Sus scrofa: one gene and its partners. The protein of the gene in region 6 interacts with the protein of the main gene of each other region in a pairwise test. Links are inferred from orthologs where the notes say so. Each region holds a gene or a part of one and is shown on either strand. Other genes may lie near its edges. The genes, in order: UBE2U, UBE2V1, ABI2, CLIP4, PTCD2, TRIM32 and UBQLN1.

What was found.
Region 1: the proteins of TRIM32 (region 6) and UBE2U interact in binary tests that used the Homo sapiens proteins (3 or more experiments, as listed by UniProt). The link is inferred for Sus scrofa from reciprocal best matches to the Homo sapiens genes TRIM32 and UBE2U.
Region 2: the proteins of TRIM32 (region 6) and UBE2V1 interact in binary tests that used the Homo sapiens proteins (3 or more experiments, as listed by UniProt). The link is inferred for Sus scrofa from reciprocal best matches to the Homo sapiens genes TRIM32 and UBE2V1.
Region 3: the proteins of TRIM32 (region 6) and ABI2 interact in binary tests that used the Homo sapiens proteins (3 or more experiments, as listed by UniProt). The link is inferred for Sus scrofa from reciprocal best matches to the Homo sapiens genes TRIM32 and ABI2.
Region 4: the proteins of TRIM32 (region 6) and CLIP4 interact in binary tests that used the Homo sapiens proteins (3 or more experiments, as listed by UniProt). The two-hybrid records come from large-scale screens. The link is inferred for Sus scrofa from reciprocal best matches to the Homo sapiens genes TRIM32 and CLIP4.
Region 5: the proteins of TRIM32 (region 6) and PTCD2 interact in binary tests that used the Homo sapiens proteins (3 or more experiments, as listed by UniProt). The two-hybrid records come from large-scale screens. The link is inferred for Sus scrofa from reciprocal best matches to the Homo sapiens genes TRIM32 and PTCD2.
Region 7: the proteins of TRIM32 (region 6) and UBQLN1 interact in binary tests that used the Homo sapiens proteins (3 or more experiments, as listed by UniProt). The two-hybrid records come from large-scale screens. The link is inferred for Sus scrofa from reciprocal best matches to the Homo sapiens genes TRIM32 and UBQLN1.

The regions. Positions count from the first base shown.
Region 1 is NC_010448.4:148,300,376-148,304,368, reverse strand, and holds part of UBE2U (ubiquitin-conjugating enzyme E2 U), read left to right. Parts: intron 1-1,026; coding exon 1,027-1,108; intron 1,109-2,105; coding exon 2,106-2,198; intron 2,199-3,993. UniProt on the Homo sapiens protein: Catalyzes the covalent attachment of ubiquitin to other proteins.
Region 2 is NC_010459.5:51,661,548-51,666,123, reverse strand, and holds the start of UBE2V1 (ubiquitin-conjugating enzyme E2 variant 1), read left to right. Parts: upstream 1-1,625; 5' UTR 1,626-1,681; coding exon 1,682-1,703; intron 1,704-4,576. UniProt on the Homo sapiens protein: Has no ubiquitin ligase activity on its own. The UBE2V1-UBE2N heterodimer catalyzes the synthesis of non-canonical poly-ubiquitin chains that are linked through Lys-63.
Region 3 is NC_010457.5:106,856,524-106,860,516, forward strand, and holds part of ABI2 (abl interactor 2), read left to right. Parts: intron 1-1,726; coding exon 1,727-1,873; intron 1,874-2,605; coding exon 2,606-2,730; intron 2,731-3,993. UniProt on the Homo sapiens protein: Regulator of actin cytoskeleton dynamics underlying cell motility and adhesion. Functions as a component of the WAVE complex, which activates actin nucleating machinery Arp2/3 to drive lamellipodia formation.
Region 4 is NC_010445.4:110,174,525-110,178,517, forward strand, and holds part of CLIP4 (CAP-Gly domain-containing linker protein 4), read right to left. Parts: intron 542-3,993; 5' UTR 527-541; coding exon 394-526; intron 1-393.
Region 5 is NC_010458.4:48,628,941-48,632,933, forward strand, and holds part of PTCD2 (pentatricopeptide repeat-containing protein 2, mitochondrial), read left to right. Parts: intron 1-2,453; coding exon 2,454-2,567; intron 2,568-3,993. UniProt on the Homo sapiens protein: Involved in mitochondrial RNA maturation and mitochondrial respiratory chain function.
Region 6 is NC_010443.5:257,064,128-257,067,555, forward strand, and holds the end of TRIM32 (E3 ubiquitin-protein ligase TRIM32), read left to right. Parts: coding exon 1-1,757; 3' UTR 1,758-2,784; downstream 2,785-3,428. UniProt on the Homo sapiens protein: E3 ubiquitin ligase that plays a role in various biological processes including neural stem cell differentiation, innate immunity, inflammatory resonse and autophagy.
Region 7 is NC_010452.4:31,274,631-31,279,062, forward strand, and holds the start of UBQLN1 (ubiquilin-1), read left to right. Parts: upstream 1-1,285; 5' UTR 1,286-1,543; intron 1,544-1,783; exon of another isoform or gene 1,784-1,808; 5' UTR 1,809-2,248; coding exon 2,249-2,428; intron 2,429-4,432. UniProt on the Homo sapiens protein: Plays an important role in the regulation of different protein degradation mechanisms and pathways including ubiquitin-proteasome system (UPS), autophagy and endoplasmic reticulum-associated protein degradation (ERAD) pathway.

The DNA of each region.
Region 1 (3,993 bases), on a different chromosome or scaffold from region 6:
TAGTACTTAAGTGCCTTTCACTTACAAGTTTAACACAGAGGAAGGCTTTACCCCAGGTGCCACCAATGATGTTATCAATGTCCACAGGTGCCATAGCTGTTTCATCACAAACAATATGGAGAATTTTTAAAAAATGGAAGGGTCAAGGGACTACTTAAGACTAGAAAGCTGTGCATAGGAAGGTGTAGAGTCCTTATCAACAGCTCCTTCAGGTATAGTTCAATGGCATTGCTCGGTTTCCACTCCTGCCGTGGAAGCATTGTCTTAGTGGATGCTAGGAACAATTACTGAGTTCAACATCAAACATCCTAGAGGCGTGAAAGTAACATTGGATACTGTTCCTGCTCCACCTGAATTTGTGGCTTGCTGTTGAAAGAAAATTTGATGAAGGGAGAAATGATATGTAAATATAGTTGATGTAGATAATAAAAGATGTAATGGTTATTCAGACTAGCACTCAACATAGCTAATAACTGTGTGGTTGCTCAGAGTGTTTATTGACTATGTTTAAGCATATTCCTCAGTGTAATGAATAACCTTTATCTATGAAATGTATTCTTGTTTCTCCATTGGAATAATAGCTCAAGTGTTTTATTCTTATATATGAGCGTGCTATTGGAGTTGTGTTTTACTTAATGAAATTTTTCTTACTTTATACTTATATAGCCTCCATATGGCTTTTAAAGGCTTTGAAGAAATGCATGCTTCTAACTATTCTTTTCGAAATTTGAATCTTATATTGTCTGTTGATTTGCATAAGCCACACATTCCATTCATGACCTTCCTATCCCACTCATGATTTCCACACTAATGATTTATTTTAAATGTACTTTTTTGTGTGTTTTCTGGTATCTGCCTTAACTTCTGTGAAGTAAGACAATATATAACACCTTCCCAAATCAAAAAATAAAGAAATTTATCAGAAAAAGAAAATGCAGAGCTTCGGGAATTTATTGCAACCTAATATTTGATTTTCAAAGCTGCAATAACTAATCCTTTTTCTGCTTTGATTTTTCTTAATTAAAGGGTATTAATGCCTTTCCTATCAGTGAAGATTTGTTGGAATGGGAAGTTGATATTAAAGGTCTGCAGAATACAATTTGGCAAGGTTTGTGCTTTCAAACATACTTTACTTTTTTAAAAGTCTTTATGTTATTAGTCTAATTTCTTTAATGTTGCATTATATACTTTTTTGAGAATTCTAAAAGTATTCACATGTTATTTTTTCATCGTATGGCTTAATTTTATTGCTATTTGTTAACATGGGTGTGAATTTCAGGCCTGAATTTTTCTTTATGCCACATCTTAATATCATGTTTTTAAGAAGCAGAACGTAAAGCATATCAATTGAAAATATCATCTCACAGTCTTCCATGAAACCAGAGAAGGGCAATTAAAATACATACTGGCATAAAAATCCCACAGCTATGTCTCATTCTTTTCCCTCTTTGATTTTCTCACAAATCTCCACAAATCAAATTCTCAAGAAGACTAGGGTGCTATAAACTTTAATGACCATGCACTCGTACAGAAGCAGATTAACAGGATATATTTGTTTGGGTGAAGTAGGAGAGAAAAACAGGTTAAGTGGATAATTACAGTAAAATATAATGTGCCATTATGGATTTTGAATGGATGACTGAGAAGGCCGTGATTAATTTTGCCTTAGAGATTCAGGAACAGCTTCCCAAGGAAGTGACACTTGAGTTGAGTCCTGAAGAATGTATGAGTGATGGCCAGATTTAGAATGAGAAGGTGATCCAGGCAGAGCAAAGAGCCTAGCAAAAGCCTCTATACAAGAGAGGGTTCTGAAGCAATGAGCTCAGTAAATATGAGGTGCACAATGAAGGGGACACAGTAAATATGAGATTCCACAGAGTCTGTGGGTGGAAAGGACTGGTGGGAATGGAAATGCTGAAAACAGGAGATTAGATTGTGAGGACTCTTATTACACTGTTTAGTGGGGTCTATAATCCAATTTACCTGTTCATAAAATCCTTGGGACCTTGGGGAGTCAAAACTGTGCAAAGAAACTCCAGTGTTAATCAGGTTACAGTTAATCAGTACGTGACACTTTAGTAAAAATGTTTATTTCTATATCATAGGATCATTCTTCCAACTGACAATAAGTTTTACATCAGAGTACAATTTTGTCCCTCCAGTTGTGCGATTTAGAACGATTCCTTTTCATCCAAATGGTAAGGAACAAATGAAGTTATTATTGTCATGGGCTCTTTCCCTATTAACCTTATTCTTTATAGTGTTTAATAATGATTCCTTTTAATCACTTTGTTATGATTATAAAAGTCAGCGTACTTACTCAGGAAAATATTAAAAGGCATAAAAAATTATCCATCTGATTCCTAATTCAGACAGATGCAACTCTCAACATTTAACCACATTTATTTCCTTTCTTCTGCATATGCATTTTATCTGCATAGTTGAGGTATTTCCACATAAAGTTTTATATCTTTTTTACTTAAAATGACAGAATACATTTATTTCTGTATTATTAAACATTCTTCAAAGAAAACTTTTAATGACTGAATGATAAACGTAACCATTCCTGCGTTGTTCAGTATTTTAGTTGGATCTAATTTTTTACTTAAAAAAAAATGATGCACTGACAAATTAACATCTTAAAAAGAAGTTAGATTGCAACTTCAAGTTATGCAAATTGTTGATCAGTTATAAATGTAAAAATTTCGACTATTAAAACGAAGACAACCTAATAGAATTTTTAATATGCTGGTGAGGAAGGCTTTTCTAAAAATAACAAAACCTAGAAACTACGAGAAAAGCATGACACATTAAATTGCATAAACTTTAAAAAATGTCTCTGTAACTAACAACATTATAAAGAGACAAAACTGCATTGACATTTGTAAAGTGAGGAAAAATATTTGAAAGGCATAAATTAGAATGTTTATAATATGTAAAGACCACCTGTAAATCAATAAGAAAAACATAAAGCAATAGAAAAATGGGCAAAGGTTATAAACCAACATTTGATAGAAAAAACGTAGTGAAAATAAACATAAAAAGATGTCAGCTTCACTAGAAAGAAAATAAATGTTAAAAATAATAACACAGGCATTCCCATTGTGGCCCAGCAGTTAACAAACCATGAGGACGCATGTTCGATCCCTGGCCTCGTTCAGTGGGTTAAGGATCTAGCATTGCCATGAGCTATGGTGTAGGTCACAGACGTGGCTCAGATCCTGCGTTGCTGTGGCTCTGGTGTAGGCCTCTGACTCCAGCTCTGATTCAGCCTCTAGCCTGGCAACCTCCATATGCCATGGGTGTGGCCCTAAAAAGACAAATAATAATAATAATAACAACAACACAGGAGTTCCCTCCTTGTGGCTCAGTGGGTTAAGGATCCAGCATTGTCATGCTGTGGCTTGGGTTGGGGCTGTGGTATGGGTTCGACCCCTGGCCCAGGACCTTCAACATGCTGTGGACATAGCCAAAAAAATAATAATAACATACAGTTACAGTACAGGTGGGCAAACAAGAGTTCTCTGATATAATGATATATAGAGTGACCTTGTGGGGAAGCAATTTGACAGTTTCATATCAGATATAAAGTGCAAATAGTCCTAAATCCTTGTAATACCATGTTTATAAATTATTTCATAGAAATGCTAGCACAAGTATGAAAGAATATGTTTTCTTCTATTTGAAGTATAATAGATTTACAATATTATGTTAGTTTTAGGTATGCAGCAAAGTGTTGCAGAACTTTGGCAGATTATATTCTAGGTTATATTCTAGGTTATTATATTAGATTATATAATAGATTATATTATAGGTTATATTATAGGTTATTGCAAAATAATGAGTATAATTCCTTATGCTCTACAGTATATCCTTGTTGCTTATCTATTTTACGCACAGTAGTTTCTGTTAATCCCATACTCTTGATTCATCTTTCCCTCCTTTTCTTTCCTCTTTGATAACCACAAGTGTTTTTTTTTTTCCTTTATCGGT
Region 2 (4,576 bases), on a different chromosome or scaffold from region 6:
CCTAAACACCTCACTGGCCCGATCCTAGTCCTGGCCCTAGGTGCCAGGTCTTGTGGGTAGTAGGGTGGATAACATCTTGATTTGCCCTGGCGAGTCCTGGTTCTGCTTGTTGTCTGAGCAAGATTTCAGTCTTGGCCCCCTTTCAGTCTAATGACTCTCCTTGTTGGATAAGTGTTCTGTGGTCCCTCAACTTGCAAAGTCTGTGTTTTATTCTGTGAGAATGGGGAGCCACTGAAAAGTTAAGTTGAAGGATGTTTTGAGCAGACTCAGGCTGCCATAAGGAGAATGGAACATGAGGGCAAGAATGGAGGCTGCTAGGTCATCCAAGTGGGAGAAAGGGGGAGCCTGGAAGAAGTGGATGGAGAAGAGAGATGCTTAGGAGACACTGCTGTCAGAACAGAATGATGAATTGCATGCACTGAGTGAAGGCTTCCAACTTCCTTGTTCCTCTGCACTGAAAGCCCTGGTGTTTTCTCTGCCCATATTTAGCTGTGTTACCTTGAGGCAATCTTTTCACCTCTCTCAGCATCAGTTTCTATATCCATATTAAGGGCTTCTCAGAACATTTAAGATTGAAGAGTTTCTTCTGGATTTAACATTTGCAAAATGTCCCCAGGGCCTTTGCACATGCCATTCCCTCTACCTCCTTCCTATTATTCAGGTCCTTATTGAAGTTTGAAGGAGGCCTTAGAAGGCCCTCCCTGACCACTCCTTCTCTAGTTTACTCTCTATCCTATTATAGTTATGTTCTTTCCCACTTGTTTACTTTCTTCCTGTCTCCAACTAAAATGTAAGCCCATGAGAGCAAGGGCTTGCTTTTTCAGGGATTATAGTCATCCTTAGCACCTAGGACTGCATCTGGCACATAATAGATACTTAGTAAATATTTGTTTGATATAATGAATGAAGGAAGGAACAAGCGAATGGGGAATGCGTTCCTTGACACTTTAATGCCCCCCAAACCATTTTAGCTACCCTTCTATAAGACCCTTCTGGCCTGGGAGCATCCATCCTGGAAGCAAGACACCTGGCCCACATTCAAATTCTGACTGAGGCACTTAACAGCTGAGTTTAGTTAAATCGGTTAACACCTCTTCCCTTCACTCTGCAGTTTAATCCCAGCTTCATTCTTTTATCCCCACCTGGTAGAAATGTGAAGATCCAACTAGATAGGAAAATGCTTAAAGCAAAATAGGCATTTTAAAAAATATATTATAAATTTGCATGTTTACTTTTTTACTTTTATCGATTTACAATACTGTGTTAGCTTTAGGTGCACAGCATAGGGATTCAGGTTTTTGTGGTGTGGTGCTGTTGTTGTTTTGCAAATTATATTCCATTATAGGTTATGACAATACGCGGGTTTTTTTAAGCTTTCTTATCTTTTTCTTTCCCAGTCACGCCTTTCCAAGTCTGATCACCCTTGCCTTTCTCACCAAGCACCTCAATAGCTCCTTCGCACCCAAACCTGAAGGACCTTGCAAGCTGCTGGCCATGGCGCACGCAAATATTTCCTCTCCTAAAGGGCAGAAAAAAAAAAACCTTCCCGGCAACGGGTCCCGCGGTCTGCGGAGCTGGCGTCAGCGGAGGGATTTGCGCATGCGCACACGCATGCGTAGAAAGGCCCCGGGACGGGCGGGGGGTGAAGAAGGGGCCGGCCTTTGAGCGACAGCGACGCAAGATGGCAGCCACCACGGGCTCGGGTGAGCGGGGGCGCCGGGCCCGGCCGGCCGAGGGGGCAGGGGTTCGGGCCGGGGGCGGGGGACCTGCAAAGGCCCTTGCTGCGGGGCTAGGGTCTCTGCGTTGCCTCTGTCTGCTGGGCCCCACGGCGGCGACCCAGGCGGCCTGAGTGGGGAGGAGGAGCAGGCGGTGGCCGGAAGCACGGGCGGGGGCCTGAGGGGCCTGTGGGAGGCGCGGCAAGGCCCAGAGGCTCCCCCGGGCGGTGTGAGGGCCCAGCTGAGAGGAAGGGCCCGGCCCCGCTGCGCTGCTGGGCGGCGAGAGCGGGCGAGGGGTGAGCCCAGAGACACCCCTGAGGAGACTGGAGCTGGCGGCTCTCTGGGGGGAGATCAAGGGGTTCTCTGGAGGACGAGGAGGCTCCCCCAAACGAATGGAAGTCCTTTATTGGGTGCTGAGGGTCTAGGCGGGGGGGAAGCAACCGTGGGATGTCCATTTAGCGGGGACTTCAGAGAAGCCTCTCCGGATGGATGGGGGAAGGAAACAGCATTCTGAGAAGTGATTGAGAGGATCCCCCATTGGTTCAGGGGACGACTCCAGTGTTAGTTTTGGGGATGGGGTTAGCTGAGGAAATTTCTATGTTGATTAGAAAGGGGGTGTCTGGGGTGTCTGCTTTTGGGGAGATTCGGGGTATCTCTACAGGATAAGAGAAGGGGAAAAGGATTTCTCGGATTCCAGCGGGATCTCGTTGGAGCATCAGAAAGTGAAATGACCCCATGGTTACCAGGCCCCTATTTGAGAAGATAGATGTTAGGTTTTTGGATAGCTCCGGGTAGGGCAGTTGGTGGAAGCCTGCGATACTGGGCGAAGAAGAGATGAATTGGGAGCCCTGGAGGTGTCTGGGGTAGGAGTCAACTGAGGGAAGCCCCATGCAGTGGGTGACAGTAAGAAAAGGTCGGGTTTCAGAAATATTTCTTTTAGAAAAGATCTTTATTGAGTGTCACTCCTTTCCACTCTTTTGAATATTGATAACACATGGTTGTTCAGCTCAGCAGTTCTCCATCGACTTGATGGGCATGGGGAGAGGGACAAGTGAAATGGGAACCTTGGGTGACTGGAGAAGAAGGCTGAGAGGCAAGAGAGCATGAGGGGGCTACACTTTGTGTGTGTGTGTGGAGGGGGGGGTCTACCAGGCCCTAGTAGATAAAGGGAAGTAGCATTTATTTTGAAACTGGATTCCCTGCTCTACATTTCTGAGATGTGCCAGAGGATCAAATCCTGAAGGGTCTGTTTCAGAGTTAACACTCCCAGTTGAGCATCAGGGGATGGACTCAAATGGCCTTCTGGAGCAGGCAGGCTGAGGATTGCCTGAGGAAGGTCCCTCAGAGGGGTTGATGATGCAAGAGAGTCTGATTCTGGAAATGCAGGATTTGGGAATGACAGTGTCTCCCTCCCTTTTGGTGAGGATGCTGTCCCCTGAGGTGCCTGGCAGTCAAATTGGCCAGTGAAGTCCTCCCAGATGAGGTGACAGTGGGTGACCTGTGATGGAAAAAGCAAACAGGACCACCAGCCCGGACATTGAAATCTGATGCTGCAGCAGTGTTGTTAGGAGAGAGTCGGTGACCCAAAGTGAACAGGGTGGGGGGAGTGTGTCTTTCAACGATGGTCCCCCTCCAGTATCCTAAGGAGCCATCTTTGGCTGATTGTTATAGTGGGAATAGAGGGAATTTGAAGTGGGGGATCTGACTGAAGTCACCTGCCACAGGCTGCCTTTTATACTTAAAGCAATGGGGTCTTCCTAGAGGACAGAGGAAACCATACATCATTTTCCTAGATTTTGATTTCAGTTGGAACAGTGCTGAGTCAGTTCATTTACCAAGAGACCGCCAGAGACATTCTCAGAAGAGAGAGGCTGAGTCAGGCCAGACTGCTGTGGGAAACCTCTCACTAGAATAACACCCCTGCCAGGTTGCTATGAACAGGGGGGTGCACTGTGCCTGGAGCAGCCAGCATTATGGTGCTCTTGCAACTCAGCCCTGTTGGCAATCACTTGATAGTGGCTACCTATAATCCGGTTTAACAGCTACCTAATTCTAACTTCTTGAGGCCCTGCCAGTTGAAGAGTTCTTCATAAATGCTGTGGTGGTCAGATAAAACATCTTCAGCTGCTGTCTAGTGGCATATAAGAACACTTGGCATGGTTTAGATAAGATGGAACAGGTTTTGAGTTGCCCTAAAATGGGTTTCCCAGAACTCCTTTATTTATTCAACAGGTATATTATTAAGGGTTTGCTGTGTTCCGTGTGAATAGCGAACAAGATGGACATAGTCCCTGTCCTTGAGGAGCTTCTCTTCAAGTCAGGAAGAAGCCCATTAAAGGACAAAATAATTAAGAAGATTTCAGATAACAGTAAATGCTGTGAAGGGAATTGTGTAATGTAATAGTGTCTGGAGAGGTGGTCAGGAAAGGCTTCTCCAAGAAGGGGCATTTGAACTGAGACAAATGATGGAAGGAGCCAACAGTGTGTGTCACAGGCAGGGGAGGGGGAGACAGTGAGTGCAAAGGCCCCGTGGCAGGATGAAGCTTGGCATGCTGAAAGAATAAAATAAAGGCCTTAGTGTGCAAGGAAGTCTTCTTAAAGAGATGGGTTGCAGAGATACGGCTTTGGATTTTTTTTTTTCCCCTTCTTTTTTTTTAATGGCTGCACCCTGGGCATATGGAGATTCCTGGACCTGAGATTGAATCCAGTCTACACATCAGCTATAGCAGTGCAGGATCCTTTAACCCACTGAGCTGGGCCTGGGATCCAATCCATGCCTCCACAGTGACCCCAGCCACTGCAATTGGATTCTTAACCCCTTGCACCACAGCGGGAACTCTTGGTTTTGGATTTTATTCTGT
Region 3 (3,993 bases), on a different chromosome or scaffold from region 6:
TTGCCTTCACTGTATAATTCTCAATGAGCAGAGGTTTTTTTTCTTGGATGAAACAGAACATTTTATTTTCTGGGAAAAATTGTTTGGAAATTAGTTTCCTATTTTATTGTGTTTTTGATTTACGTTAAAATTTAAGAGATGCCCACACTTCTTAGTATTTTATTTTTGTTTTTATTTTTATTTTTTCGGTCGCCTGGAGGCATATGGAATATTTTAAATCCAAGGTTCTGACCTTCATTTTTCTTTCTTTGACCCAGTGTCTCATTTAGTGCCCTGATTCATTTTTAATAATGTGTGTATTTGTTTATGCCAGATTTTGATGGTAATAGAACAGACACGGTCATTGCAAAGTGACCTCATTCCAAATCAGTGAGCCAGCCCTTGAGTGGCCCAGAACAGTTTAAAGGAACCTGGGGAGCTTTTGGGAAAGTGAATTATAATTATTACTTTTTTTTTTTGGTCTTTTTGTGTATTTTAGGGCCATACCCACGGCATATGGAGGTTCCCAAGCTAGAGGTCCAGTAGGAACTGTAGCCGCTGGCCTATGCCACAGCCATAGCAACGCAGGATCCAAGCCGCATCTGCGACCTACACCACAGCTCATGGCAATACCAGATCCTTAACCCACTGAGAGAGAGGCCAGGGATCTAACCTACATCCTTATGGATCCTAGTCAGGTTTGCTAACTGCTGAGCTACGACGGGAACTCCAGGAGAGTGAATTATTGAGAAATACATAAGTCAAGTGAGTAATGTCATTTTAGGAGAAGAAGAGTCTTTAATTTTCACATGTTGAAATCCAGTTTTGTTTTTTTTTTAAAGACCAGAATCTCATCTATACAGTATCAGTTTCATGTCAGAGTGTTTGTCATAAAAAATTTGGAAATGTAAAGATGAGAACTAACTTAAATAATCACTAGTGTTCCAGTGTGTATCCTATTTCCTATCATATTTCCTTTCTTGTTCTTCTCATTCTCTTCTTTTAAAAGGGAATTTTGAGGGGAAAAAAAGGGAAATATGCTAATGAAATCCAGTTTACTTTGTACTTTACAGTTCAAAGTAAATAAGGTAGAAAGACTTAGGTGACTTTTTATTTCTTCTCTCCCTTTTGAATATTGAACTCTGAAGAGGGTAAGGGCAGTCAGGGTGGAAGTTGAAGGAGGATGTGAAGAGAGAATGGAGAATGAGATTCCATTGTTTATTTCTCTGTGTGGAGATACAGTTTTATTTCTGTGTACTAGCTGTATACAAAAGGAATTGAATTGTTGTTGCTCTTGATCATCAGTGTGGGGGTTGTGGAGCCAAATTCTAAATTTATTTACCTTACTTTTTGAATACTTTTGGTTAGGGAGAGAGGGGGTGAGGAAGACAATTAGTGCATTCGTACAGTGCAGTTGGGAGAATTTGATTTGGCACTAAAATACTTTGAACGTATCTTAGAAGAGAGTCTGGGAAACATTGGCCTACCAGGTGGGAGAATCTTCATGCTCTCAGAATGAGTGAACAAAATTGCATTGGCACAGGGAAATGAGGTCAGAGACTAAAAAATAACAGTAGCATCAAAACCCTAATGGTGAGGTGATACTTATACTGAAATTGGTAGCTGGGTTTTTTTAAAACACATTTTACTATCTCTCGAGTACAAATTGTATTTCACTACTGGCAACTCTGAATTTATTGTGCCGAAACTTGCTAATCACACGCTACATACGCTCTTCTTTTTGTAGGCGGCACTCCCCCTATCGCACACTGGAGCCAGTGCGTCCTCCAGTGGTACCAAATGATTACGTACCTAGCCCAACCCGTAATATGGCTCCCTCGCAGCAGAGCCCTGTGAGGACAGCTTCTGTGAATCAAAGAAATCGAACTTACAGGTATTTTCTCTACCTCAGCGCAAAATGTGATGGTCATAGTACCATAATTTGTTTAGATAACTTCAGTTAAACCTTTCTCATTTTCCAAGCACTAAGTTCTTTTCCTCACTCTACTCCTCCAAACCTCATCTGATTCCACCTCTCTCTCCTCATGTTCTGATGCAAATTTGAGCAATCAGCAAGTTGAAAAAGAACAAACCTTTCAAAGTGCAAACTCCTTTACAAGATCGATAGTTTTAGTTGACCCGAAAAAAAATTGTGGACCGGATGTGGGAAATTTCAAGTTGTTTTTTGGTGGAACTTTACAGATGAAAAACTATACGCAATAAAACACTAGTATGGGGTAGTCGTGATGTTGCAAATAAAATTAATCAAATAATCTGTTTAGGAAAACTTTTTATTATAAAAAAGATTCCTCAGGCAGCCATTTTAAACTGGAATGAAAGAAAGGAGTATTATTTTTCTGTGTTGAGCCCCATCATTTGTCACTTACATTGATGGAGAATTTTTTTTCTTTCCCAACTTCTTTAATACATACTCGTTAAAAGGTATCCAAAACAAGTTTTTTTGAACTCGGCTTTTCCCTTTACTCTGTTAAGGAATTCATATTTGAAGTGAAAGACTTTGGAATTATCATCGTATAGCTATATTCATTTCAGAAAATTTTGGAAAATGCTGGTGATACCTTACCATATATAAATGCTCATGGTTTGGTGGCTCTTATTCCTTTAGCAGCAGCGGGAGTAGTGGAGGAAGCCATCCAAGCAGTAGGAGCAGCAGTCGGGAGAACAGTGGAAGTGGGAGTGTGGGAGTCCCCATTGCCGTTCCCACCCCCTCTCCACCCAGTGTCTTTCCAGGTAAAACATGCATTGTGCTTCATCATCACCTCTCCTTTTGGAGTCTTGAGTTGAGTTTCTGATTTAATTACAGTGGGTTTTCTTCATAATTGGATTTTTTTTTTCCCTTTAAGAGTCTAAATGTTGAGAAATCTTTATCCATTTGTTATTTTAGCCAAGTGATTTGTAAGTTTGTTACAAACTTCTCTGTTATTTGGTTTAATGTATTTGGTGCTATGGCTGAGGTGGTGCTTTGAGGTTTCAGATACCACCTTGGAATGAGTTACGTGTTTAATTCCAGCTGGTGTTATGACAGTGCATGCCTTTGGACACAGTGGGCACCCAGTGTGAGGATCAGATTGGTAACCAAGGATTGGACAGATATAATTAACTAGTTAAATTTAGCTGACTCTGGAACTTAATAATCACTGAAATGCTACCCGCTTTTCTCTGAAACAAAATAATGTATGGCTATACCACCCTGAATGCACCCGATCTTATCTGAAACAGAGAAATGTACTTGTTTAATTTGAGGACTCACAGTTAAAATTTAGTTTTTAAAACATGACCCAAAAGACATTAAGGATAGGATATTACATATTTAATTTGCTTTAATAACAAATAGATAATATCTTTTTAAAAGTCATGAAAAGGAGATTTGTATTTTTCTAAATTCTTTTTTACCAATAAGATGTTTATGTCTGGATACATGTTTAGTTTCTGATTCGTGTAAATCAAAATGGAATATGGTTTTTTTTTTTTTTTTTTTGTCTTTTTGCCATTTCTTGGGCCGCTGCTGTGGCACATGGAGATTCCCAGGCTAGGGGTCGAATCGGAGCTGCAGCTGCCGGCCTACACCAGAGCCACAGCAACTCGAGATCTGAGCTGCGTCTGCAACCTACACCACAGCTCACGGCAACACTGGATCCTTAACCCACTGAGCAAGGCCAGGGATCGAACCCGTGACCTCATGGTTCCTAGTCGGATTCGTTAACCACTGAGCCATGACGAGAACTCCATACTGTTGTTTTCTGGTGTTATGTTTAATTTTGTATACTATTACAGAATGTTATGGTAAAAATAACAATATAAAAGGAGCACCTTTCTTCCAGAATAGTGGCTGTCGAGTGAAAAGGAATGATGCTTTTTTTTTTTTGCTTTTTAGTGCTGTGCCTGTGGCATATGAAGTTCCCAGACTAGGGGTTGAATCAGAGCTGTAGCTACTGGCCTACACCGCAGCCATAGCTACATGGTATCCAAGCTACATCTGTGACCTACACCACA
Region 4 (3,993 bases), on a different chromosome or scaffold from region 6:
GCTAGCTCACACTGCTTTTATGTCTCCTTTTTTTTTTTTTTTCAGTACATGGCTTTTTAAGCGAGTCAGCGCATTTAACCAAAATAAATACATCAATAGCAGAAGAATGCTAAATGTCTAAGCACCACTGCATTCTAAAAATAAGATCCTCTGAATCCACCATGGTGCTTAAAATGAACACTTTTACATAATAAAAGTGCTGACAGTCGAAATAAAGCATTTGGCTTAAGAGGCAGAAAGAGCAATAAGCAACTGTATTCCTGAAAAAGGAAAACTTTAGCAATTTTACAAAAACCAAAACAAATGGTTTTATAAAAATTAAAAATATAAAAAGGTATAAGACAGAAGTCAAGTTACCAGTTCATAGAAAATAAACACAGCTACATAACCTACCACAGTCTGAAGGCATTGGTGCTGCAGAAATGGAAAAAATAACTGGTGTATCGGAACCTTGAAATAAAAATGGGTATCTTCCAATCAGAGAATTTCCTTCTAATGGAAAATCTGGAAGGTCCTCTATGGTCATCTTCTAGAAAGCCACCTTTAATGAGAGGGGGGAAAAATATATCTATTATATTAGTATGCAACTTAGAATGATTGCCTTCAATCAAAAAAAGCCTACATTAAAAAAAAAAACTAACATATTGATATTTTGAACTTCAACCTTCAAGAACCTCTTTTAAAGAGGAAGGGGAAAAAAAACTTCCTTTAATCAGTCTTTGTTAGAAAGTACACATTGCTTCACACTGTTTCTCAGGGTCAGCAGCACATGTAATCTTTTTAGACAAAGCTCAGTAGTAATAAAAATACTATACATTCCCCAATAATATGAGAAAACAATTTAAAAATGCTGAGCTAACCCAAATGGGTGATGTTCCCTTTACTCACAGTAACAAATGAGGACATATCCCTGCAGATGGATCTCTAACTTCTAACAGGATCTGACAAAGGTTCTATCATCTATCATCCAATAGCTCATGTCATGTGCTCATCACATGAAAATAGTCTAGTTTAGAATGTTCTCATTATTTTCTGACATCCCAGAACACTTTACTGATAGCAGATCACATCTCACATCATTCCTACGAATCTAAATCAATGAGCTTACTGACACTGTTCCACGTCTCAACAAGGTAGAGGATCTGTTCCATCTCTCCTAGCAGCAGATGGAAGGCCATGCCTTCTAAACCATAGCACTTATCTTACCTCTTTTTTTTTGTTTTGTTTTTCCCAGAAAACATGAGCACTCAGAATAAAGTTACTCTAAATTATACGCAGCTATACACTAGCCCACACATCAGAAATGACACCGAAAGCAGAAAAGGTGTAAGTACAACTGAACGATGAAGCTAAAATCCTTCCGGTTTCGTTTGTACCAAATCTTTGAAGTGTGAAATATTATGAATCAATACATCTGTTTGAAATATAAGCAGAAACCTATGTTATAAAACTAAATAAAAATGATTTTAGATTATTTCACTAGAAAGAATAGAATAAGTGAAGATGGTTATCTGAGAGCTCACCCGAGCAGAAAATGCCATGCTATTACTCAATGTGTGTTCTATTACACTTGGTTAACCAACTCTATATCCATCATCTTTAACCACCGCATTTACCTACCATCATCCCGCTGCTTCAAGGAAAGAGTCACCTCTCTAGCTAAGTGCTTTGTTCCCAACTAGATTTATATATTTTCTGAATACTAGTAGGAACTAGTAAAGAGTAAGATGATTTCTTTTTTCTCTTCAGGTACATGTTGACACAGACACATTATATTATATATTAAATAACGTAATCCAGTGTTACTGTGTTAAAGGCAGTCGAGGTTTCTTGGATGCTGAAATTACCTGCCACCCAATACTTTGAATCAGATTGACATTCCCCTTGTCACATATGAAAGATTGTTGTCATACAGTATGGTGAGCGTCCTCAGATACTAACAACTCCAAAAAGTAGCACATAACCACAAATACAGCCCTCCTTCAACACTAGAGCTTCTCAGTATTCAAAGCCGGTCAGGATTTCTACTTGTTGACAAGGCTCTACTTTACTTGGCAGTAAATTTAGGCAAAATATTCTATGCAGGGTATGAAGCATCCTTTAAAGTCAAGGAACAGAGATAAAGTTTAATAAATATTAAGATGTATAAGACATTACACTATTCTAGATGTTTCAGAGAATACAAATATGAGTAACAGATGGTCGATGATTGTGAAGTAGCTTACAGTCAGTTAAGGTGACTAAAATAATACTAATAACTAAAAATGACAAAATAGTATGAGATATGTTCCATAACCTAAGTACAAGGAACATTTGCTAGAGAGCTCTTGAGAATCAGAAATGGTGCAGTGAGGAGTTCCCTGGTGGCTCAGAGGGTGAAGGATCCAGCATTGTCACTGCTGTGGCTCTGGCTACTGCTGTGGCATGAGTTTAATCCCTGGCCTGGGAACCTTCACATGCTGTGGGCACAGACAAAAAAAAAAGTGGTACAGTGAAAAAGGTATCACCTAAGATAGGTCCTGAAAGATGAGCAGGCAGAAACAGAGGCAGCGATTTAGAAGTGGAGCCCATCAATGGTTTTTTAGGACTCGCCCCAGTAATGCCTTATATACCTGACCAAACACCAAGCCACTTAATTCCACGATCACTAGGAAACCACTGATTTTTTTTTTTAAAGCAGACTACACTGGGAGTTTCTGTCATGGCTCAGAGGTAACGAACCCAACTAGTATCTATGAGGATGCAGGTTTGATGCCTGGCCCTGCTCAGTGGGTTAAGGATCCAGGGTTGCCATGAGCTGTGGGGTAGGTCGCAAACGCAGCTCGGATCCCGAGTTGCTGTGGCTGTGGCATGGGCCAGAAGCTACAGTTCTGATTCAACCCCTAGCCTGGGAACTTCCATATGCCATGGGTGTGGCACAAAAAAAAAAAAAAAAAAACCACAAGATTACATTCACACTTTGGGACTCAGTCATGTTTTTTTATACTCTTAACTTTGCAGCAAAATGATTAGGTGGTTATCTTTCTGAGTTGGTTAGTTGGTTAGGAGGAAGCCACATTTCAAAACCTCCCTTTCAAAGAGTGGGGTTTCTCATTCAAAAATATTTTTTTAAAATGGTCTTCAGAGCATACCTTTCATTTCCTGGTAGACTGGTAAGATTCTTAAAAATAGGAACTGCATCTTACACAACTATCACTTGCCACAGGAGCTAGATTAGTGTCTTACACATATTTAGTAAATATTCAAATCCTAGATTCAAGGTGGAAAGATGATTCATTCAATAAGATGTAACAAATTTCATTTCACATGTTAGATATTTCAAGCCCCTGGAAGCTACTATATTACCTCAATAATGCAGTGAACAGTCTTCGTATTTTCTTCTTCATGCATTTTCCCTAGTTCCACTGCCTTTTTTCCATGAAAAACCCAACATTCTACCTCTGTCTCACTTAAAACTATATACCTCTGCAAACTTTATATAGCTTTAGAATACTTTCCTAAAAGCAATTTTTGGATCTAAAGGTCTGGGAAACTTGGTCAAACCTAGAGATGAGCTGGATTGAGTACATACTTCTATTTCAAATCCTACTATGGTTAACTGGTGATAATGAATTATGCAAAGTCAGCCTAAGATTTAAAAGAAAAAAAAAAAAAAGGCCCTAAATAACCAACAATAGATAATAGATGCAATAACAGGAATTAAAACCCTCAAATTTTGATTTACATAGGAATCCTATCACCCCAGCTCTAAGTAAATGCAACTTGTAACGTGACTCTAATATTTAATGGTTTTTCAGAGATTCCTAGTCAATGTCCTAACACAGAATGGTGGTGAGTGGATAGGCCCAGTAACTCCTTGAACTACTCATCTAACAGGAGAGCTAAGCTGTGTCCACATGAGTTGGAAACAAGAGGCCCTTTCATTCAATTTCCTGGAGTATGGGTGTTTATTTTCATGAGATAGTGGGAAGAAAAAAAACAAAACAAAAACAA
Region 5 (3,993 bases), on a different chromosome or scaffold from region 6:
AATGAGCAGTGCGCTGTCTGTCTTCCCAGGCTGCTGTTGTGCAGACACCCTTGACAGTATAGTCTGGACTAGAGACAGTCAGTGCTCCTGCCTGACGGTGAGCGACCCACAGAGTGTTCTTTCCCGACGAGGGCTGTGCTCACAGTTTTGCCTGTGCTCCAGAACACTGCACCTAATCAGGTCCTTTGGAGTTGGGCCCATTTAGGATCATTTCATTCCGTTCTTTAGGACCAAAGACCACCTCTCATTCTGATCAGCTGCTCAGCAAACATGCAATATTATAACAAGGACTATTAAGAGAACTTAGCTGGTTTGGTATGAAAAAGGAATATCTCTTCCAGAAAAGAAAAAAAAAAAATCATCCTTCCTAAAGATCAAGAGCCTTAAACAATGTTTATACCCTTTGACTTTGTAATTTCACTTCTGGGAATCAAATCTAAGAAAGTAACAATTTTTTTTTTTTTCACCATTTCTAGGGCCCCTCCCGCGGCATATGGAGGTTCCCAGGCTAGGGGTCTAATCAGAGCTGTAGCTGCCGGCCTGCACCACAGCCACAGCAACGCGGGATCCGAGTCACGTCTGTGACCTGCACCACAGCTCACAGCAACGCCGGAACCTTAACCCACTGAGCAAGGCCAGGGATCAAACCCACAACCTCATGGTTCCTAGTCGGATTCGTGAACCACTGTGCCATGACGGGAACTCCAGAAAGTAACAATTTTTAACAAGTATGCACATTTATTGATATAATAAAACATGTAATTGCTTTATTTGCTGCATTATTTACATGCTGGATTGCTCTGCATTCGTTATTAAAAATTAGGTTTTGAGATAGGAAATGAGTTCAGACACCCTAGTCACAGAAAGGGCAGCTCCCGCTGGCAAGTGCTGCCGGTGAGCGTGAGCTCCTAACATGAAGCATGGAGACTCGTTCCCAGCTCCCCTGCTCCTGTCCTGTAGCATCAGGACCTGGGGAACTTGACCTTCATACTGGCTCAGAAAGGCTTTCCGAATAGTTGATGCTTATCAGGGGTTGGTGCCAGATACACCCGGGGCAGCTACAAACAGAGTCTGTCTTTGCTGCACCAGCAGGGCCAGCAGCGTCCCCTGAGCTTGCCAAGGCTGAGGTGCGAGAGAAACACCCCCAAGACCCCCGACAGGATCCAGCTCTGAGCAGCTGCAGTGGCTCCAGCCCGTCACCTCCTTACTGGGTCTCCATTTTCTCAGGCAGTTGGGGTGAGGCTGAGATGAGGACATGTAGGAAGCAGCGGGAAAACCGTGACACACACAGGACCTAAGACCAACCCACCCACCTTCTTCCTGCCTGCCCTCCCTGCTGACTTGTCAGGTTATCAGGAGGGGGCTGGCCCAGGGTCAGGGACACATCCAGGTGTTCATGGTGTCCCCACAGTTCACTGTGACCCCCTTGTCTTTCTGGAAGCAGCAATCGAGCCCCAGAGAGAACATGGCCCTGCAGGTGCTGGCCATGTGATCTGACAAGTTCTCAGTGCTTCACTCAGACATCAGCAAAATGGGCATAATAATAATACCTACCTCATGGGGTGGTCATGAGGATTAAAAAAAAAAAAAAAAGTAGGTTTTATTTTTTTCCCTAAAATTATTTAGAAGATAATACGTAAGATTTTAAACAATGGTTAACATCAGTCGGTGAATTCTGAGGTACTCTCATTTTCTTTAAACTGTTCTGTATTTTTCAGCGGGCGCTGGCAATGGGGAGGGCTGCAGGAGAATGTGTTTTTGCCCTTCTGTTAATTGTACCTGACGGCAGGCGGTGAGCAGTATCACGCGGAGGCCACGTCTAGGGCCCCCTTTTGAAAGTTCCTTACTAGCTACCATGTAAATAGGAATTCCTCATTAAGACATTAACCAGCTTCCACTCTACACTTGCAACAACCTCTATCCCTGCTGTTTCTGAACCCCAAAGTTAAATTAAAAAGATAAAGGTATCATTTGCCCCAGAGCCAGTCTTTAGGAGACTGAATGTCTCAGCCTTGAATCTAGAAGAAATAGGAAAAACTAGCAGTAAGGATTATTGAGTACCTCCTGCATGTTAACAGTAACCCCAAATGTGAGCTGTATTTTCCTCATGTTACAAATACAGGAAGTGGAAGAGATTAAATACCTGGCCAGAGTCACTCCGCTGGTGACTGCCAGTGCCGGGATTCTGGCCCCGCTATGCCAGACTCTAGAATTCCCCCATTTCTGCCCTTTAGCAAGTTGTGAAGTTTTGGTGTTTTGATTAGCTACTGAAAACAAATTTTGGCTTGTGGGCATTCATTTCGAAGCTCTTTTGAACCTGTGCGAGCAAATGAAGGAGGAGTTGGCCTGAAAGTGGGGGGGGGCTGTCAACGTGGGCTCGTCTCACAGGGTTCGTTGCTCAGTGCTGATGACTGGCTCCGTCTTGTGTTTGCTTGTTTCTTCTTTTTATTCAGATTATGATCCATGTCCAATCCAATATGCTGAAAGCCCTCATAGAAATCCTGAAGGATGCCACAGAGGGAAATTTATCAAGATTTGTGAAAAAACATGTGTTCTCAGAAGAAGTGGTGAGTATGGACAGAGATGACAGAACGGAGCAGGGGCAGTCTCTGAACCGGCCACTCAGTACCTTAGTCCCCTAAGGCCACCTCCTTAAACAGAGGCACAGATCTGGCTGCCTCGCTGTTCTCTTGTCAGTGTGTGGGCGCAAAGTCCGTTCTCCCTTCTAACGTAATAGAGCCTCTGCAATTCGAGGAAAGCTTTCTCCCTTTACATAGTTCTTTCCCCACACTGTTTGCACGGGGGTCGGCTCTCTTTTTTCCCTTTCTCCTCAAGCATCCACTTCCTTCTCCCCACTCCTCATGCTTCAGGGGTCAACCTTGCCTCATGTCTCAGAAGGAAATAGAAGCAATCAGAGCAGAGCTGCCTCCTTGTCCCCCCACCCTGCCTTCCCTCCTGAAGCCCAGGTGACTACAGACAGACAGCTCTCTAGAGCCAGCTCGGCTCCCCAGCTGCGCCTGGGGCCCTCCCCTCACCCCTTTGGAGCCTCCGCACTGCGCCTGTGGATCACTCCCGTGGGCACATAGTAGACAGGAGCATCTCATCTTTAAAAAGAGCTCCCCGCCTTAAACAAGTGAAAAGACAGACCTGGTATTTAGATAGGAAGACTCAACCGCATAAAATTAGTTCTTCCAAAGTTAATGTGAGAATGTAACATCACAATAAAAATACCGTTAGGTTTTTTTCCTATAGTTAAAGCTTAGTAGAGCAAACTAGCAAGAGTAGCTGGGAAAACCCTGGGAAAGAAGAGTAGGAAAAGGTGCCAGACCTGCTGGATATGAAGCCACACTAAAGCTGCTCTAATTAGAACTCTCATTTTGGCTCCTGAGTAGACCAACTGATGGAACCATATAAGTGCTTTGCAAAATTATAAAATAAGTTAAAATTGAAAAGAAGCAATTTCTAAACATTGAAAGAAAAATGAAACAGAGGAACCAATGTGTCACATTGATGGCTTAAGCACACAAAGAGGAATTGTAAGTTATTTGAAATTTAGAAGGCTGGCAAAGGGAGCCTGTCGGCAAACTAATTGGATAGGATTAAGTCTAAAGCTTCTTTCTATTTGATGTCTTAGCGCTGTGTAGGTTGTGCCTCACCCACACCTTTCCGGAGGATGTTTAGAGAGGTAGGGAACTAGAAGGTAAAGCGGGGTTAGAGCGCTGGAGAGTGTGTGTGTGTGTGTGTGTGTGTTCCTTAGACCTGGCTCATGCATATGTTGTTCTAGTCGTGTGACTGAACCATCCAAACAAACTTCACGCTGAAAAGTGCTGGTTGTTTTGTTTCCCCTAAAGCCTACAAGGCTCATTTACTCAGAAAGCTCAACCTCCAGTTCCCTGTGTCCTCTGGTTGTTGTGAGGCCACTCGGGGAACTGCTTGTTGAGACATGAATTGATCCATAAAACTCCAGCAGCTCTTGATCTAGTGCTCAATATG
Region 6 (3,428 bases):
CCCGCATAACCAGCCTGAGCCAGCTGACGGACAACCTGACCGTGCTGAAGATCATTGACACGGCTGGGCTCAGCGAGGCCGTGGGGCTGCTCATGTGCCGGGCCTGCGGGCGGCGGCTGCCCCGGCAGTTCTGCCGGAGCTGCAGCGTGGTGTTATGTGAGCCCTGCCGGGAGGCGGACCACCAGCCTCCCGGCCACTGCACGCTCCCTGTCAAAGAGGCCGCCGAGGAGCGGCGCCGGGACTTTGGAGAGAAGTTGGCCCGTCTACGGGAGCTCATGGGGGAGCTGCAGCGGCGGAAGGTGGCCTTGGAAGGTGTCTCCAAGGACCTGCAGGCACGGTATAAAGCCGTTCTCCAGGAGTACGGGCACGAGGAGCGCCGGGTCCAGGAGGAGCTGGCTCGCTCTCGGAAGTTCTTCACAGGCTCTTTGGCTGAGGTTGAAAAGTCCAACAGTCAAGTGGTGGAGGAGCAGAGTTACCTGCTCAACATCGCAGAGGTGCAGGCTGTGTCCCGCTGTGACTACTTCCTGGCCAAGATCAAGCAGGCGGATGTGGCGCTCCTGGAAGAGACGGCGGAGGAGGAGGAGCCCGAGCTCACCGCCAGCCTGCCCCACGAGCTGACCCTGCAGGACGTGGAGCTCCTCAAGGTCGGCCACGTGGGCCCCCTCCAAATCGGGCAGGCGGTTAAGAAGCCCCGGACAGTCAACATGGAAGACTCCTGGGCCATGGAGGCTGCGGCTTCTGCTGCCTCTACTTCTGTGACATTTAGAGAGATGGACATGAGCCCCGAGGAAGTTGCCAGCCCGAGGGCCTCGCCTGCTAAGCAGCGGGGAGCCGAGACAGCCGCCAGCATCCAGCAGTGCCTCTTTCTCAAGAAGATGGGGGCCAAAGGCAGCACTCCAGGCATGTTCAACCTTCCGGTCAGCCTCTACGTGACTGGTCAAGGCGAGGTGCTGGTCGCTGACCGAGGCAACTACCGTATACAAGTCTTTACCCGCAAAGGCTTCTTGAAGGAGATCCGCCGCAGCCCCAGCGGCATCGATAGCTTTGTGCTGAGCTTCCTTGGGGCTGATCTGCCCAATCTCACTCCTCTCTCAGTGGCCATGAACTGCCACGGGCTGATCGGTGTGACTGACAGCTATGACAACTCCCTCAAGGTGTACACCTTGGATGGCCACTGCGTGGCCTGTCACAGGAGCCAGTTGAGCAAGCCCTGGGGCATCACAGCCCTTCCATCCGGCCAGTTCGTGGTAACTGATGTGGAGGGTGGAAAGCTCTGGTGCTTCACTGTTGACCGAGGAGCAGGGGTGGTCAAGTACAGCTGCCTGTGCAGTGCCGTTCGGCCCAAGTTTGTGACCTGCGACACCGAGGGCACCGTCTACTTCACCCAGGGCTTGGGCCTTAATCTGGAGAATCGGCAGAATGAGCACCACCTGGAGGGCGGCTTCTCCATTGGCTCTGTGGGCCCCGACGGGCAGCTGGGTCGCCAGATCAGCCACTTCTTCTCAGAGAACGAGGATTTCCGCTGTATCGCCGGCATGTGTGTGGATGCGCGTGGGGATCTCATCGTGGCTGACAGCAGTCGCAAGGAGATTCTCCACTTCCCCAAGGGGGGCGGCTATAGTGTCCTTATCCGAGAGGGGCTCACCTGTCCAGTGGGCATCGCCCTCACTCCTAAGGGGCAGCTGCTGGTCTTGGACTGTTGGGATCATTGCATCAAGATTTACAGCTACCATCTGAGAAGATATTCTACCCCTTAGGGGGCTGAGTGATAGCAGTTTCTTGTGCTCCTCAGCCATCTTCCCTTCCCTCATTCCTTGGTGGTTGGTGGTACTGTAGCGTAGACTTGGCCTGTGTCCTGATTCCAGCTGGCTAGTCCTAGAAGTTTAGAAGCTCTGTCTCTTTTAGTGTGTTTGTTTGTTTTAATTTGCATTATCTCCTCCCTAAGTTTAGAGCTTTAACAGATGCACTGCCCTAAATAGGACACGATATGAGGTTAGCCGATGTTTGAGTAGAACCTAGACACTTCCAGGGCTTCAGTAGCCTTTTGCCCCTGTATTTGAAATTTGCCCTTGTATTGAATCCTTGTTGATTTTTCTCTCTTTTGGCTTTGACCACTCTGGTCCATTATTTCCTCCCTTATTGATATACACTCCATCTGTGACTTTCTCTTCAGCTCTGCTGCATTTAGCATGCATGCTCCAGTGGGACCTGCTGCACCTTTCAGTGACACTTCAGACATCCTATCCCTGTGGCATGATGTCTCGGGTCAGAGCACCTTTCACTTAGTGCCACCAAGGGAGACATACAGTCCCTCTGGGAAGCAGGGCCTCTCAGCTCTGGGGGGGTCTGTGCTATCTTGGATTGGTCTCCAGTTGTGGCAGTGACAGAGGATGGATTGACCCTTGTTGGCTGGTATTGAAGGCCTTAGCCTGGAAATTGCTAGCCTTTCAAAGGAGCATATGGATTGGAATTAGGCCAAAGCATAGGAAAATGGGAATAAACAGAAATAAATGCTTTTATAGTGAAAAGACACTGTTGGGTAGTCTCTAGAGCTCATCGTTTTTCATACTACCTCTCTCCACTGACCTGTGCTAAGAGCTGTCTGTGGAATTGTACAACACAGGCTGGGGCCAACACAGTGCAGAGGGGGACACATCTCATTTTCATCATTAAAACTGTGGGGTCCTTATTCTGTATTTTCCTCAAGTGAGTGCATCATATTTGGTTTGGGGATTTATTTCCATTCCTCTATCAAGCATTAAATGATTGATAACTGTTTCTTCATCACTGGTGTTCGTGTCTTTTCATTAAATATGGGATTTGGGAGGTGGGGGTGGTATCTGCTGCTTTGTTTCCACACCTGACACTCCATCCTTTGAGGATGGTAAGAATCTACCTAGGTCACCATTCAGCCAAAAGTACCATTATGTCAAGTTAATCCAGATCCTACTCCCACATAACCTGTGTATGGAATCAGCCTCCAAGGTCTGCAGTCACCAGCACCCTGTTTTAAACTCAGCCTCCACCTGCTTTATCCTTATAATTACAGTTCAAAAGAGGAAGGAATTTGTGATTTCAGGAAGACCTGAAGTGGGTGAGGGAATTTGTGACAAGGTTCCTCAGGCTTTGGTGTTTAACAAGCAACATATCTTGCTCTTTGGGTGCAGGGCTGATGACAAGCCAAAGAACTATTACCTGGCTTTCACAGAGCAGATTCTACTAAGCCAAGCTTCTCAAAACTGCTTTTTGGTGGTGGTGGTGCTTTTTTGGCTTCTGTTGTGATAGCTGACAAAGCATAGGAAAGAAGCTAATTAAAATGATGTCAAACTAGTTTGTCTTGTGCTTTTCACCTGGAGAAAAGCCCCACGTTCTGATTATGAAATTGCATCCGATTTTCAAAGACTGTATAATTGAGAGGAAATTGATCC
Region 7 (4,432 bases), on a different chromosome or scaffold from region 6:
ACCACAGCAATGCCAGATCCCTAACACGCTGAGCGAGGGCAGGGATTGAACCTCCAACCTCACGGTCCTTAGTCAGATTCGTTTCTGCTGTGCCACGACAGGACCTCCAGCTCTTATATTTGTTTCACCAATCATTTAACAAACAAAAATTGTTCAAAAGAATATGCCTCAGACACCCTGTGGCCAAATCAGATCCTAGGCCTGTTTTTGTAAGTAGTTTTACCAGGACACAGGGAGGCTTAGTTACCCATACACTGTCTGCAGTTGTTCTTTGTTACAAGCACAGAGCTGAGTATTTGAGATGGAAAATGTATGGTCCACAAAGCCCGATACAGCTACTATCTAGTCTTTCGATGGTTTCTTACAAGGTAGAGTTGTATCCAAAAAGGGCTCTAATGAATTACTTAACTACATAGTCTTACAGATAAATTCTATTACTCCATAAATTGAGCATAGTCATCAGAATTTTTGTAGAAATTGATGTAGATATAAATAATTACAGAGAAATTTTTCCTAAGTGTAGGGTTAGAGATAAATGATTGGTTTTCCAATGGCAGAACTTTCCACCTTGACAAGTAATGATTACCTCACATCCAGACACAAACAAACAGTCATCTTCTAGCAGAGAGCCTTGTGTAACTTCTTCATGCTATTATTGAACAAGCTGCCAGGAATGTAGCTGATATCAGATGATGCCTATGTTGCAATTTACACTTTGAGAGCTCCTCTTAGACCGAGATTCCAAAGGAGCTCTGCTAAAAAGTGGTCTTCATGTAAGAGTACTTATAACCAGAACAGAGTTGGATGGCTTAAGAACAGAAATACAGTACGTATCCTTGCATATTTGGATCATGGTGGGGTGTCAGAGTTTACACTTGTGCAATACTGGTTAATAAAGTTCATGTCCTGTGTTGTACATTCCTTTGCAAGTCATCTTCAAAGGCAGATGATAAGTTCATTTCAAATTTAGAATTCTTTAGAGGGAAATTAACTTACTGTTTCTTATTTGTACCCATGTTTCATTGAATATAATCTTCGAAACTTTAATGCCACTTGAAGTCTGAAATGAAGCAGTAACTTAATTTGAAAGAATATAAAATGAACACCTGAGCTTCATTAAATTGTCCCAGTTGGGTGGGCACTTCTTGGGTACTCTGCTTGTGCCACAAACATTTGGGGGGATAGTATTCAGAGAACTCCAGGATGCACTAGCAGGGTTGTCAACGCAGGAGAGGCCACTGTCAACACAGGTGGCCTGATCACCTGACCAAACGGGACTGACCCGAGGGTGGGAAGCTCTGGCCATGGAGCAGTGACTCCGCGAAACTGCGCAAGGTGGCTACAGGCATGTACTCCATTTTCCTTTTCTTAGGACGAGGATTTTTTTCCTCCATTAATTCATAATTCAACTCTCGCGCACCGGGCTATAAGAGCAAGTGTTTTAAAGCTTCCAAGTGGGTAAGAATCAAGCACATTTAAAATCAACGAAACACCTTGCGGGCATTTGTTCTAGACCCTCCTCGCAGCAGGCTACGCAAAGCAGGTACGGGAGCTAAGGGGGTGCGCACCGCCACCGGGGGGAGGGGGGGTGTAAGGTGAGGGGGTTGGGGAAACTACCTGGCCCACCAGCGCGCACGCGCATCTCCAGCCGCAGCGCCCAGTGGTCGATACCCCTTTCCAGTACTTTCGCTAGCCGTGACGTCATCCCTCTGCGCCCTTTCTGTCTCCCCGAGAACACGCGAGTTTATTTTTTGGTGAAAGGGGTAAAAAGAAATGAACTGACCTCTTCTACCCCACTTTGTTTTTAGTCCTTCATTCTGAACGCGCCTACGCTTTGAGCAATGGAGCAGGAAAGGGCAAAAAAGCCAGCCAGAGTCCCAAGCGGCGCCGGCCTGGCATGACTCGGCTACGTCTCCAGCCGCGTTACCCGGCGTGCCCCGCGCGGCGCCGGCAGAGGGACGTGGGGGGGAGGGGCGGGGAGGAGGAAGCGGCGGCGGCGGCTGCGGATGTCGCTGTGAGCGAGCGGCATCTGAACACACGGCGGCTGCCGAGCGCCCAACCCGGGCCTGCGCCGGGGTCCACGCCAAGCTTCGCGGCCCCTCGCCCGCTAGGACAGCCCTGCGCCCGTTGTCACCGAGGCAGCGTGCCCCACATTCTCCGCTGCCCAGGCCGGCCGGCTCTGGCGTCGCCTGGCTCCCCCTCGTTCGCCCGCTCCCTCCTGCGCGCCTGAGTCACCGCCGTCGCCGCCATGGCCGAGAATGGTGAAAGCGGCAGCCCTCCGAGCTCCCAGGACAGCGCCGCCGCGGCCGAAGGTGCCGGCGCCCCCGCGGCCGCTGCCTCCGCCGAGCCCAAGATCATGAAAGTCACCGTGAAGACCCCGAAGGAGAAGGAGGAGTTCGCAGTGCCGGAGAATAGCTCAGTCCAGCAGGTGAGGGCCGCCCTAGGCTCGGGGCGTAGTGGGGATGGCGGCAGGACCTCCGCCCGCCGTGGGAGGAGACGGTTTTGCAAGGGTTTGGCGGTGGTGGGGGTCGTCCCCGGAGGTGCCCTCATCCTTTCTCCCGCGTCTCATCCCAAATTCGATCACACCCAAGTTCGTGGGTTTGCTCCTGGGGGCATCGCAGGTTTGTGGCGGGGGCCGCGCGGCCTTTTTGGGGGATGAACAGATGCTGCTTCTCTCGGCTCCTTCTTCGGGCGTCCACAGACCCCCAGCCTCCTCCTCCAGCTCCCCGCCCCCAGCCGCCTCCTTCTGGCTCCTCACAAAGGAAAGGGACCCGCCGCCTGGCTCCGGGCGGGGTGGAGTCTGGGTTAGGGTTCGCCTTAGCCTAGTCTGCGATTTTGTCTCGTGAAAAAAAAAAAAGGGGATGCTCATTGTTTTACCTGCCTACAGGTTAAGGTGGATTGGGGGATGACGAGCACGTGTACATTTGGTTCTGCGTTTTGAGTGCTGAAAATTTTCCCATCTTCCAATCTTTAAAGAAAAAATTAACTATGACGTAGAAATTGTTTTCAGCCATATCTTAAGTGCTAGTACTAGGCTTAAACAGAAGAGGGGATGACTTTCATTGACGATTTGCTGGTCTTTTTTTAAAGTGTATTTGTCATCGCTTAGATGCCAATCATTGGGGAGGTTTTTTGTTTGATTTTAGTGGGAGAACTGCGTTATTCAGATATTAGCGTATGCAGTCGGATAACAACGAAATTGGAGTTAATGGAGAACATGCAAATATGCTACTTAAAATCTGTTCAGGAATACAAATCCCGCAGTTAATAGTCTTGAGGAATTTAACACATTGTTTTAGCTTATTGAATATACGTCTCAGGATATTTTCTACAATTATTGAGTTGATCTCAGCGTGAACAGTTTATGAAGAAGCAAAAATTACTGAAACGTACTTGTGAATGTCCCTAGGAACAATAAATGATTAGGGCATTTGTATATATAATTCTGAAAGGTGTTGTGTTTTGTCAAGTAGTAAGTAGAGTGTGTAGCATCAAGTGAGAAACTTTGACCACCTATTGAATCACCATATTTTTTTCCCTCAATATAACTATAAAAAATTTCCTTAACGTTTTTATGTTTTCTAGCATACAGGGAAATTGAAATAATTGTGCAGTGAACACCATGTGTCCATTGCCTACAGTTAGTATCTAGCTTTATTTGCTCTGTCATACAATTAATTTTATTTTTTCGGATGCATTTCAGGGTAAGTTTTAAGCATTAGTACATGTTACTCTTAAAAAGCACTTTAGTAATGTGCCTATCATTAACCTGAATTCATTTTTTTAACCTAAATTTTTTTTAGTTAAATTTGACTTGCGGTGAAGCGCACAATTGCCATTCCATGAGTTTTCCCACGTACATACACCTGTGTAATCCGAAGCCTTATCAAGTTGTAGAACTTTATAATTGACTAGGAAATTTCCCCCTTGCCCTTTCCCAGTCAGTTCAGTGACTCTCCTCCGTTAACCACTGTTTTGATTTCTTCCATGGATTCATTTTGCTTTTTCTAGAATTTCACATAAGTGGGATTATTGGGTATGTACTCTGAGTAAGGCTTTTTCTTTCAGCTTAGTGTTTTTGAGACTCCTTGTGTATCATCAGCAGTTCCTTTTCATTGCTATGATTCTTACTTTGTATGGATATACCACCGTAATCTGTTTATTTTCCAGTTGAGGGTCACCTGGGCTGTTTCCAGTTAGTTGCTATGAACATTCTTGTATAAATCTTTTGATTGGACAGGTGCTTGTATCTTTCATGTTAAATGCTTAGAAGTGGAATGACTGGGTCATAGGGTAGCTGTAGGTTTAGTTTCACAGGGAACTATGTTTTTAAAAAATGCTTGTGCTCTTTTACGGTCCTACTGATAGTGCGTCGGAGTTCCTGTTGCTCCACATTCCCACTAACATTTGATAATATCAGTCTTTTTTATTT